3 linked regions of the Callithrix jacchus genome follow. The protein of the gene in region 1 interacts with the protein of each later gene in a pairwise test. Links are inferred from orthologs where the notes say so. Each region holds a gene or a part of one and is shown in the gene's direction. Other genes may lie near its edges.

Region 1 (3,644 bases):
TACCCATCTCATAGATAAGAAAACTGAGACTCAAAGCCGATTGATAAACTAGGGTCCCATACAAACAAGGGGTGAGCCAGGTTCCAAACCAGGACCGATGACTGAAGACCGCATGCTGAATTCTGACACTGTCCCCAGCCTTGGCTTGTTTTGTCCTCCCAGAGATCCATTGAGGTGGGGTCATAGTAACTATTTTACAGATAAAGAAACCAAGGCTGAGAGCAGGAAGGGCAAACTGAGGGCAGCTCTTGCATTTGTGTGGCACTGTGCAAGCCGGGCTCAGCCCCGGGCTCCAGGCCGAGACTCACACACACTGGCATGAGTCTACACTGGATCTTATTGGTCACCTGAGCGGTGGCCCAAGGACACATCTGTAGACCAGTGATCCAGAACTCCAACCACGTTCTCCTACTGCCCAAGACCGCTGAGGACAGCCTCCCTTCTCGGGGCCTGCATCCTGGGCCAGGCCAGAAACAGAACCTAACGCCTTGTAGAGCACCACACATGCCAGGCTCCTACCTCTGAGTCCTTGCCCAGGCTGTTCCCTCTGTCTAAACACCAGGCCCTCTTCTGGTTAATTCAGATTGGAATTATAGAGTCTAGCTGAGATGTGACTCTTCCAGAGAGGGTCCAGGCATTCGAAGCCACTCTCTGTCATGTCACTTAGCTTTCTGTGCCTCAGTGTCCCCACTTAGAATACAGGTTCATGTTGCAGGTTTCTTGTGAGGATTAAGTGAGATAATATACACAGTGTGCTGAGTTTAAGGCCTGCTCCTGGTGTGCACCCAGTTAATGAAAGTCATTGATAAACACTTGAGGAAGCAGAGAATCATGTAAGCCTGAAAAAAATCACTGCTTTGTGCTCCTTTCAGGAGTGGCAGGTGAGGAGGAGCTGCAGGTGGTGCAGCCTGAGAAGTCCGTGTCGGTCGCAGCTGGAGAGACGGCCACTCTGCACTGCACTGTGACCTCCCTGGTCCCCGTGGGGCCCATCCAGTGGTTCAGAGGAGCCGGACCAGGCCGGGAATTAATCTATAATCAAAAAGAAGGCCAATTCCCCCGGGTAACAGCTGTCGCAGACCAGACAAAGAGAAACAACATGGACCATTCCATCCGCATCAGTAACATCACCCCAGCAGATGCCGGCACCTACTACTGTGTGAAGTTCCGGAAAGCGAGCCCTATTGACGTGGAGTTGAAGTCTGGACCAGGCACTGAGCTGTCTGTGCGGGGTGAGTACAGCGTGGGCCTCCTTCATCCCCTGGTTTGTGACAATAAGCCAATAATAACACCCTCCGTTCTTTGAGCCATGACTAGGTGTGGTGGTGGGTGCTCCTTTTCATGAATTGATGTCTCCCACTTTTACATATAACGGAAGTTGAGGCCTGGAGATGCCCTGCTATTTGCTCAAGGCTCCACAGCTGGCAAAGACTGGGAAAGTCAGCATCCTTCCTTCAGCTGCCTGGGTCTGCAGCCCTTGCCACTTCTCATCTGCCCCAGCCCTTTGGTTCCACAGATGAGGGAACCAACAGATAGAGTGACTTGTCCAGGCACAGGGCCAGACCTCACCTGCCGCCTCCAGAGAGTGCTTCCCTCTCGGGGTGGTCAAGTCTCCTCTAAGTGACAGGCACCCACTAAAACCTACTATGTGCCAGGCTCCACCAAGCTTGTGTTCTCATCTTTTCCAATAAGAAATCCACCCAGGGCAGCGAGGAGGGAGGGTGTGCTTTTCTTTATTCCATCACCAAACATCGACTGAGAAGATTCCTAAAAGGCACAGATTTACTGTTTAGTCTGATGGCCCTGGTGAGAGGGGAAGCCAGAGGTCCCGGCATTTTCTGTGGGTCTTTTAGAAAAAACCTCGTGCAATTTAGGGACTGATTTATGCAATCACCAAAAGCTCTGAACAAAGCGGGGTCATCAAAGAATGTCCCCCATTCCAGGAAAGAGGTATTCCTTCTGGGTGACTTCGGGTTCCTCAGTTAAGGCAGCAAAGATGCTCATTTGTGTTTGTTGACAGGGCCCCAGGATTCTTGTTCTAGCTCCTGGTCCTGGGACATTAGTACAGGAAGGACCCTCAGACCATCCAGCCCAACCCCCAGTTACAGGTGGCCACTTGAAGTCAGGAGATGACAGGGGCCTTGCCCGTAGTCACAGGGCCAGTTAGTGACAGGATCTGGACCAGAGCCCACATCTGATTCCAGGGAGGCTCCTTCCTGCCCAAGTGTTAAGCATTGTTTCCATAGAAAAGCCTGGAGCATCACAGGTGCTCAATGAAAGCTCCTTGAACAGAGCCAGTAAGCAGGGAGCCAGCACTTCTCCTTTTCATCAGTTTCCCAAAGGTTCAGAATACTCACATTCAGACCCCATTGGTAACTGGAAAACCTCACCCAAATGTAAACCATGTTATTTGAAATGGAGATTTCATATCAGGACATAGAGACCTGTTCTGTTGTGTAATAGTTACCGAATACTCCAGCTTATAGAAATATGAGACTTATTTTATAGTCTTCTATTGATGGCTATATAAGTTGTCCCCAACTTTGAGCTATTAAAACAGTCCTGCAGTGGATGACCTTTAGCATGTGTCACCCTCCTCAGGTGGGAGATGCCCACTGGAGGTGCCATTGCTAGATCAGAGGGTGTGTGTGTTTTCATTTGTGTGGATATGGCCTTATTTCCATCCTAGACATAATAACAAGTCCCCCCACAACCGCTGGACATAGGCAGGGAGGGTGGCTTTATTCTGATCGTGCAGATATTACAGGAAAAGACATTGAGGTTTCCAGATGAGGCATCCCATGCCTAGACAATCGCAGCAAGTAAATGGCTCAGGTGTGACCCAGTTCTGCTGACTCCTAGTACAGTGCTCACTCCTCTTTGCCATGCTGTCAGCCTAAATGATGTCCTGGATGAGAAAGGAGGGAGGCAGGAGGGGGCCAGGGAGCAGCAGCTGGGCCAGATCCTGAGTCTGGCACTTTCTCCCTTTATAACAAGTACTAGAAGGAAGAGCCATGTGTTTGCCCCTTTTACAGATAAGGACTCTGAGGCCCAGAGAGGAGACCTAAGTGGTGAGCAGGTTGTGGAGCCTTGAACCACAGCCCCTGTATCTGTAACACCCAGCTGTGCTTATCAAAGTGGAGAAATGTTCCACCCTTCTCATTCCACTCTTGCAGTTCTATAGCAATGAGCATAGGCTGAGGCAGGAGAATTGCTCGAACCCAGAAGGCGGAGATTGCAGTGAGCCGAGATCGTGCCACTGCACCCCAGCTTGGGTAACAAAGCAAGACTCAGTTTCAAAAAAAAGGGAAAACAAAGCAAAAAATCCTATGGAAGTAGGAGGGGCCAGCCCCCATCAGAAAGGTCCTGCAGGTGTCTCATGATACAGGAACCTGTTCCTAAAGGACAGGTCTCAGCACATCACTGAGCAGCATCCATGGAGCAGAGTCGGGCCTCCTGCAGCCCAGCAGACCACATGCCCACCTACTCATGGTGCTGAGGACTAAGGATGCGGAGATGAGGCGTTTCCTGGGTGGGTGCTTTGGGCCCATAGGAGTAAGAGTTTCTATTCTCCCCTCGGGCTTTCAGGAGCCCACCAACTTCAGTTTATGGCAATAGGGTAACCAGATCTGGGCACCCTGGAGGGA
Region 2 (3,644 bases), about 130 Mb from region 1:
TGGTGTCCAACATTCCCACAAGGGCAGCACTGTGGCCACTGTGGGCTCCTGTAAACCCCAGGCCTGAGCTCCAGGAGCTCAGGGGTGGGGGTGTCCCTTAGGAGACATCAGCAGGTGGGGTTGGCATGGCCTGTGAGCTTCACAGGCATCGGGGCTGTGGAAAGGTGCACGAAGCTTCTGGAGATTCTGGACCGGGGGAGCCAAGTCATGTTCGATGTCGCTTTCTGCACGGAAGGCCTGGTACCATGCAGACAGCAGTAGGAATCCTTATTCCCAAGAGACTTGGAAACACAATGAGTTGCATTTGAGAAGGGTTAATTTGGGGTGGATGAGGACCCTTGTGGCAGCGAGGGGGATTCAGCAGAATGAGGGCCCTCAGCATGGCAGGGGTGTACCCCAGAGAGCAGTGGAGGCCATAGGAAGACAGAGGGGCCTCTGTGCCCTGGGCCCAAGGCCACAGAATGGACTTGAGGTCTGAGCTACCATCAGGGCCAGGCCCTCCCTAGCCCCAAGGCAGCTCTGGAGAACCAGGGCAGGCTCAGGCTCACCGTCCAGCCCTTTCCAAAGCCCTAGGAAGCCAGGCAGATGTGCCCAGGGGCACCCAGAGAGCCAGGAGCAGCCTGGAGAATGAGCCACCAGAGGCCAATTGGGACAAGAGCTGGGTTGCCGCTCAGGTGCAGGAGAAGAAACGCATGCATGGGGTGGCCAGAAAGCTGGGGACCAGCGCTGCTCAGAGTTCTCATACCCCCAGGCAGAGACAGAGCAATGGCCACACCTCCCCTGCCATGGGACAGGCTGTGTCCTCCCTTGAGATTCCACCAGCTTCAAACCTCCAAGTATGGTTCGGCCGCCTGAGGGGCCAGAGTCCAGCCCAGGGGGCCCTTCCTCAGCTTAACCCCCTGGGAGGGGTTAAGCATGAGAGGAGCCAGCAGGCCCCAGTCCTCCTCCCCTGATTAATTGCTGCAAGGCCTTGGATGTTTCAGGAACTTTACAGCTCTGTTCTGGGCCAGAGCAAGAGCAGATGGTGGGGGAGGGGTGCAGGGCCCAAGAGGCGCGTCCCTCACGCTGTGCCCAGCAAACTCTGGGTCCACATGGTTTCCCTGAGGCCCAGTCAGCCCAGTGCAGAAAGACAAATCCCAGCCAGGCTCGGCAAAACAGGTCAGGCGAGGAGGGGCAGAGAGTGGTGAAGGCTAAGAGTGTTTTTAGAACCAGTTACTGGTTTGACCTCAGATTAGCATCAGGTAGGAGAAGAACCTGGGGTCACAGGGAGTCACGCCTGGGCAGCCAGTTTGACAGCCCTTGCCTCCCAGCCTAGGGCTGGCTGGGCTGGGGCTGCCCCCTGCCCTGCAGTCCTGGGCTCATGGCCAGTTCCCTGCCACCATCCCTGAGGAGGACTCAGAAGGAAAGGGGCCGGTGAAGAAACCAGAGCCCGAGAAGTGGATATTCTGTGCTAGGGAGGCCAGACCAGCTCAAAAGCCCTGCCCCAGGTGGATAGGGGAGGGGAGGGTCTGCCCTGGGAAGGAGGCCAGCCCACCCTCCCTGCCCCGGCACTGTGCCCCACTGACACTTCCCTGCTTTGCCTGGGGATACAGCTATGTTCCTCCCAGCAGCACCTGCCGGGCCTCCCCAGCAGAGGGGCTGCCCATTCAACCTCCTCCCCCAGTTCACTTTTTCTGAAAATCCCCGCAGGCATTGTCTCAGGAGGATCAACTCAGGCCAAGCCCCCAGAATTCCTGTGTCTTAGAGAGGGACAACCAAGGCCGCTGGGTTTGAGGAGACCCCTCAGGGTCACTGTGGAGCACTAGGGCCTGGTCAGAGGACCAACTTCGCAGCGGGAAGCCCTTTCCATGGGACACCCCACCCTCTGTGGTGGCAGCCAAGCCAGTGCTGGGGGTGCGTGGGGGGTGGTGCCGAGGTCAGGCAGGCTTGTTGTCTAGAGTTACGTAGTGGGAGCCTTTGTATGAAGAGGAGGAAGTCCTCTGGGGGTTGGAAGCAAAGGGAGCAGGCAGTGTCCAGGGCCCCCCAGGAACCCAGCAGAGGGCCAGGGGCTAAAGGATGGCTGGTTCTGGGTGTCTCGAGACCCCGACCATGGAGTGGGTGGAAGAAGCCGGGATGGGAAGACAGGCTCAGTGCCAGGGTGGGGTGCGTGTGGCTGCCCATGTGCACTGTGAAGCCCAGCCAAGAAATAGGCATCACTGCCAGTGTTTCCAGAGCACAGGCACTTCCCGGGCACCCAGGCGGCACGCAGGCCACATGGGTCAGGCTCCAGCGGGAGGCCTTGGCCACTGGCTGACCTGCCCGGGTCCATCTGTCCAGACTGCATGCTGGGCTGCACTGGGCCATGTGCTGGAGCCCTCTAGACCTCACCCCAGCCATGGGTGGGCACTCAGTGGACACTGAGCTCACATCTTACCATGGGTTTTTAAGTAACATTTTGTTGTTTTACCAAAAAAACACATTTTTTTTTTTTTTTTTTTTTTTTGAGACAGAGTTTCGCTCTTGTTACCCAGGCTGGAGTGCAATGGCGCGATCTCGGCTCACGGCAACCTCCGCCTCCTGGGTTCAGGCAAGTCTCCTGCCTCAGCCTCCTGAGTAGCTGGGATTACAGGCATGCACCACCGTGCCCAGCTAATTTTTTGTATATTTTTTAGTTGACACGGGGTTTCACCATGTTGACCAGGATGGTCTTGATCTCCTGACCTGGTGATCCACCCGCCTTGGCCTCCCAAAGTGCTGGGATTACAGGCTTGAGCCACCATGCCCGGCCAAAAAACACATTCTTAATTCAAAAAATGGAAAATAGAGAAAAACTAGCTAGATAAAGACGATCCCTTATGACACCCCTGTGTGAAGACAGTCTCAGCCAATGCTTTGGAAGGGCTGCCTGGTGCTGAGGCCCGAGCCTGTGTATGTGGTGCTCTTCTAGGCTCTTGGCCTGTGCCTGGCCAGGGGGTTCCCACTAGCATGGCCTTTCCTTCGGCCTCACAAGCCTAGCACTGCTGGCCCATGGGGGAGGCAGGGGCAGGGGATGTGTCTCAGAGGGTGGGGACACCTGGCGCAGCTGGGAAGAGGGGCTTCTGGTCAACCATTTACCCCAGCATCCCTCCCCGTCCTGGGACCATCTTCAGAGCCAGATGTCCAGGTGCCCAGTAGGGGGGGCAGGCCCAGGCTCTACCAAGCAGGACCCACTGAGCAAGGCGAGGACACAGCTCTCCAGTCAGGCCTTCAAGGACTCCTGGAGCAGCCAGGCCAAGGGTCACAGGGCCCTGCCGGCCGGGGCAACAGAACCACTGCACGTGTGGAGAGCATGTGAGCACAGCCTCCCGCCCCTCCTGCAGCCTGACGCAGGCTGTTTTTCTCCCATTTCTCTTTATCCGGTAGAACTCCCAGCTCCTCCAGCAGCCAATAGGAACCCCGTCAAGATGCAGGCAGGCTTTGCCACCCCAGGGATGAAGACGGCAGCGCAGGCAAAGGCCAAGCCCACAGGAGCCTCCCGGTCTCATCCTGAAAAAGCTAAAGGCTGCCAAAGGCTCCCCAAGATCTGGAACTACAACGTCAAGAGCTGACTTCCTTGACCCCCCCACCCACCGCTTGGGGTGCTCAGGTCCTCTGCATGAGTGCCTGTGCTTTCACCTACGTGTTGA
Region 3 (4,080 bases), on another chromosome or scaffold:
TCCAAGCCCAGGTAATGGTTGTGATGACTCCCACCTAGGAGAAGGGCTTGATTGGGCTGAGCTACCTTGATTGAGCAATGGGGCAATCTGAACTTTGCAGGGAAATTCCAAGTTCAGACTGCCCTGCAGAGAGTTCCTTGAGCCACCCATGCCCTCACCACTGGGTGAGAGTGGGGAGGTTAAGAATGGATGTTTCATCCTAACTGAGCAGAAAGCAGGTGGGCAGGGCTCTCCTTCCCTGATGAAAGGAGGGGGAACCTTTCCCTTCGTGAACACTGCCCAACTTCTCCTAGGGAAGGACCCCACGTTGGGGGCGCCACTCTTGCTGGATGTCCAGGCAGCCTTGGGAGGCCCAGCCCTGGGTTTGCCTGGGGCTTTAACCATTTACAGCACCCCTGAGAGCCAGACCGCCTCCTACTTGGGCCCGGAAGCCAGTCCCTCCCCCTAAGACCCTGGCCTCTGAAGGGGGCTCGAGTCAGTCCGCAGCTGCACACCCTTTTTGGCTTCCTGGCGCCCCCTGGCGGGGGTGAGCGAAGCCCCCACTACTCATCGTCCTCTCTCCACTACCCCGATTAGCCCTGCACATAAACTCCATTTTTTTTTTCTGTTTCTGGTCTCTTTTCTCTATCGGCCAGGGAGCACAGGAGTTGTGGATGGGGGTGATTTTGCATTTGTAGACGCGTTCAGTTACTAGGTCTTTAATAGAGGAACCCCGGTAGGGTGGAGATGGTTGGGGATCTGGTGCCTAGCTCCCCTGCCTAGGCCGGGATCCAGGGCAGGCGCTGGGCCGATGCAATCTCTGGGAAACGGGGGCTTCTGGGTCACATTCAGCTCTGCAATGCATGCGTTCTGTGATCCTGGGTGAGTCAGTACCCCTCTCTGAGCTTCCTCTGTGACAGGCAGGGAAGAGGGGTCGATGACAGGATAGATGCAAAGCACCTGGAAATTGGCAGGCCCTGAGTGGGCATTGGACGTGTGGGGCCGCGGGCCGAACTGACCCCTCCTGGCCTCATCTCCCGGTGCACCCCGGTTGGGGAGGGAAAGCTGACTACGTGCACGTCCCCAGCCAGCGCGCGGCCTCCGCGGCGTGGCTCCCAGTGCCCGGGGAAGAACCCTCACCCTCCCTATTCCCAGCAGCCCTGGCCGCCCCGCCCCCGCCGCAGCTGCTGCACCCACCCCCACCCTGCCGGGCCCTTTCTGCACCGTCATCTCCTGCCCCGCCGAGGTTCGACCCGTGAGTGGGGCCGCCCAAAACGGGCCAGACCGGGAGCCCCACTCCCGGCTGGGGGAGGGAAGGGAAACCGAGATTGGGCAGAATCAGCGCACCACTGGGTTGGGGAGGTCTGTGGGCCCCGCCCTGCCGCTGGACTCTCAGGCTCTGGGACTGAGTGGAGGGAGGTAAGGGGATCCGTGCGGTCGTACATCCGCAAAGGCTCCGCAGTGTCCCCAGACCCTGGCTCCCCGGCCAAAGAGCCCGAGCATCGAGCTGGGGTTGGAGTCTGGGACCAAGCTCCACGCGCTCGCCACCACCAGGCTCTCTGGGAAACATCTGACCCGTCGCCCTCGAAGGACTGACCGCTAAATAACTTCGGTATTGAGAACTGTTAAATCCTCAAAGGGAGAGCCCAGACCAGCTGGAAAAAGGGCAGGACTTGGGGTCATAGGAGGAGAAAGCTAACATGAGAACAATTTAGGCTGGAGTAGAGAGGAGGGGCCAATCCAATCTGCACCCTCCCTGTGTCTGTCCCGAGTAGGTACTCTCCCCCTCTCCCTTCCTGTGCCCACCGATTGGAGGGACACTGGAAGCCTCAGCTGAAGAAAACAGAGGATCTGCGTGTATACAATGCAGTGATATTGGTTATGTGGTGGTGAGGGCATATGTTTGTTTACTGGGTACACAGAAGAACCACCTGCCCTTGGGACACTTAGGCGTTGGTGTAGACAAGGGAACATTTGAGTCGTGGAGGATGGATAGGTCCATGAAGTGGAGGGAGGGGAAAAGGATTCCAGTCTTAGGGCATCAGCAAAGGCTCCAAGGTGCCAAGGCCATAATGAGTTCTCCCAGCCCTGACTGGTGGAGGGAAGCTGGGAAGGACCTGGCTGTCCAGGGTGGTGGGAGGAGGTTAGAGTAGCCAGACCAGATAGTTAAGGTCTGATAGGCAGTGGGGTGGGGTGGGGGGAGGTAGATAGATATTTAGGATGGGATTTTGCTAGACAGGAGAATATAGTTCAGTTCCTCATAGCTCAGGCTGGGGCAAGTAAGATTCCAGTTTTACCACTGAATCTCTGAGCCTATCTCCTCATCTGTAAAACGGGAACAGTAATCCTAGCCCAGAAAGTTGTCAAATTCACTGTGCTGTGGGGTCTAGTGGAATGGGAGTGAGAGGGCCTCAGACGGACTGTTACAGGACATGAGGTGACCATGGTGGGGTGGTGAGGCAGCAGCTGATGGATACTCACTGAGAAGTGGAGAAGCAAGACCTGTCACAGAAGGGACATAAAGAGAGACGGAGGTGGCTCGTGTCTGTAATCCCAGCACTTCAGGAGGCTGAGGCAGGTGGATCACCTGAGGTCAGGAGTTTGAGACTAGCCTGACCAACATGAAGAAACCCTGTCTCTACTACAAATGCAAACTTAGGTGGGCATGGTGGTTCATGACTGTAATCCCAGCTACTCAGGAGGCTGAGGCAGGAGAATCACTTGAACCCGGGAGGCAGAGGTTGAGGTGAGACAAGATTTTGCCATTGCCTTCCAGCCTGGGCAACAAGATCAAATCTCTGTCTCAAAAAAAAAGAGGGAGAGGGAGAGAGAGAGAGAGAAAGGGAGGGGCAGGGAGTAGTTCTGGTCTCAGCTTGGTAGCCCAGGAGGAAGGGCTTCAATGGGCAGGAGCCAGGGTGTGAAGTGACAGGAGCGATATAGTGTGACACCAGAGGGTACTGAGAGAGACCTGGGAGGCAGGATGGGGGCTAGAACCAAATCCTTTCTCCCAGAGAAGGCCCAGCCTCCTAGAGTCAGAGGAGGAGGCAGAGAAGGGACAGCAAAGGGAAGAGGAGATGGAAGGATGTTGTGTGAACAAAGGCAAGGCAGGGAGGAGGGGAGGTTATTATTATATATATAATAATATATATGTTAATATATAATAATATATATGTTAATATATATGTTTATATATATATATATATATTATGGGGGCGGGGGTGAGCTGAGGCCATGGTCCAAAGCCGGCTGTCTTTGCCTCCTAATGCCAGGGGTCTTGCTGGCTGCATCAGGCCACTCACAGGAATGGGCCATAATCCTCGGTTGGGAATAAATGGACAAAGCAGCCAGGTGCGGTGGCTCACACCTGTAATCCCAGAACTTTGGGAGGCTGAGGCAGGCAGATCACAAGGTCAGGAGTTCGAGACCAGCCTGGTCAACATAGTGAAACCCCGTCTCTACTAAAAATACAAAAAATGGCCGGGTGTGGTGGCTCAAGCCTGTAATCCCAGCACTTTGGGAGGCTAAGGCGGGTGGATCACGAGGTCATGAGATTGAGACCATCCTGGTCAAAATGGTGAAACCCTGTCTCTACTAAAGATACAAAAAATTAGCTGGGCATGGTGGCACATGCCTGTAATCCCAGCTATTTGGGAGGCTGAGGCAGGAGAATTGCCTAAACCCAGGAGGCGGAGGTTGCAGTGAGCCGAGATCGTGCCATTGCACTCCAGCCTGGGTAACAAGAGTGAAACTCCGTCTCAAAAAAAAAAAAAAATACAAAAAATTAGCCAGGCATGGTGGTGAGTGCCAGTAGTCCCAGCTACTCAGGAGGCTGAGGCAGAAGAATTGCTTGAACCCAGGAGACAGAGGTTGCAGTGAGCCAAGACCATGCCACTGCACTCCCCAGCCTGGGCCACAGAGTGAGACTGTCTCAAAAAAAAAAAAAAAAAAAAGGACCAAGCAGATTAATTTTCTCTAATAGCTGCTGTTTGGTAGAGATAGTCTCTCATGAGCCAGGTGTGGTGGTGCATGCCTGCAATCTCAGCACTTTAAGAGGCCAAGGCAGTGGATCGCTTGAAGTCAGAAGTTCAAGACCAGTCTGGC

What was found.
Region 2: the proteins of tyrosine-protein phosphatase non-receptor type substrate 1 (region 1) and CCDC57 interact in a two-hybrid assay, tested with the Homo sapiens proteins (2 studies listed by BioGRID). The two-hybrid records come from large-scale screens. The link is inferred for Callithrix jacchus from reciprocal best matches to the Homo sapiens genes SIRPA and CCDC57.
Region 3: the proteins of tyrosine-protein phosphatase non-receptor type substrate 1 (region 1) and NOL3 interact in a two-hybrid assay, tested with the Homo sapiens proteins (2 studies listed by BioGRID and IntAct). The two-hybrid records come from large-scale screens. The link is inferred for Callithrix jacchus from reciprocal best matches to the Homo sapiens genes SIRPA and NOL3.

Annotation. Positions count from the first base shown.
Region 1 is NC_133506.1:9,495,625-9,499,268, forward strand, and holds part of tyrosine-protein phosphatase non-receptor type substrate 1, read left to right. Parts: intron 1-872; coding exon 873-1,229; intron 1,230-3,644. UniProt on the Homo sapiens protein: Immunoglobulin-like cell surface receptor for CD47. Acts as docking protein and induces translocation of PTPN6, PTPN11 and other binding partners from the cytosol to the plasma membrane.
Region 2 is NC_133506.1:137,722,503-137,726,146, reverse strand, and holds part of CCDC57 (coiled-coil domain-containing protein 57), read left to right. Parts: intron 1-3,381; coding exon 3,382-3,566; 3' UTR 3,567-3,644. UniProt on the Homo sapiens protein: Pleiotropic regulator of centriole duplication, mitosis, and ciliogenesis. Critical interface between centrosome and microtubule-mediated cellular processes. Centriole duplication protein required for recruitment of CEP63, CEP152, and PLK4 to the centrosome.
Region 3 is NC_133521.1:24,678,881-24,682,960, forward strand, and holds the start of NOL3 (nucleolar protein 3), read left to right. Parts: upstream 1-1,199; 5' UTR 1,200-1,225; exon of another isoform or gene 1,226-1,533; 5' UTR 1,534-1,591; intron 1,592-4,080. Other genes in the region: HSF4 (heat shock factor protein 4), read left to right, coding at 1-11, 294-448.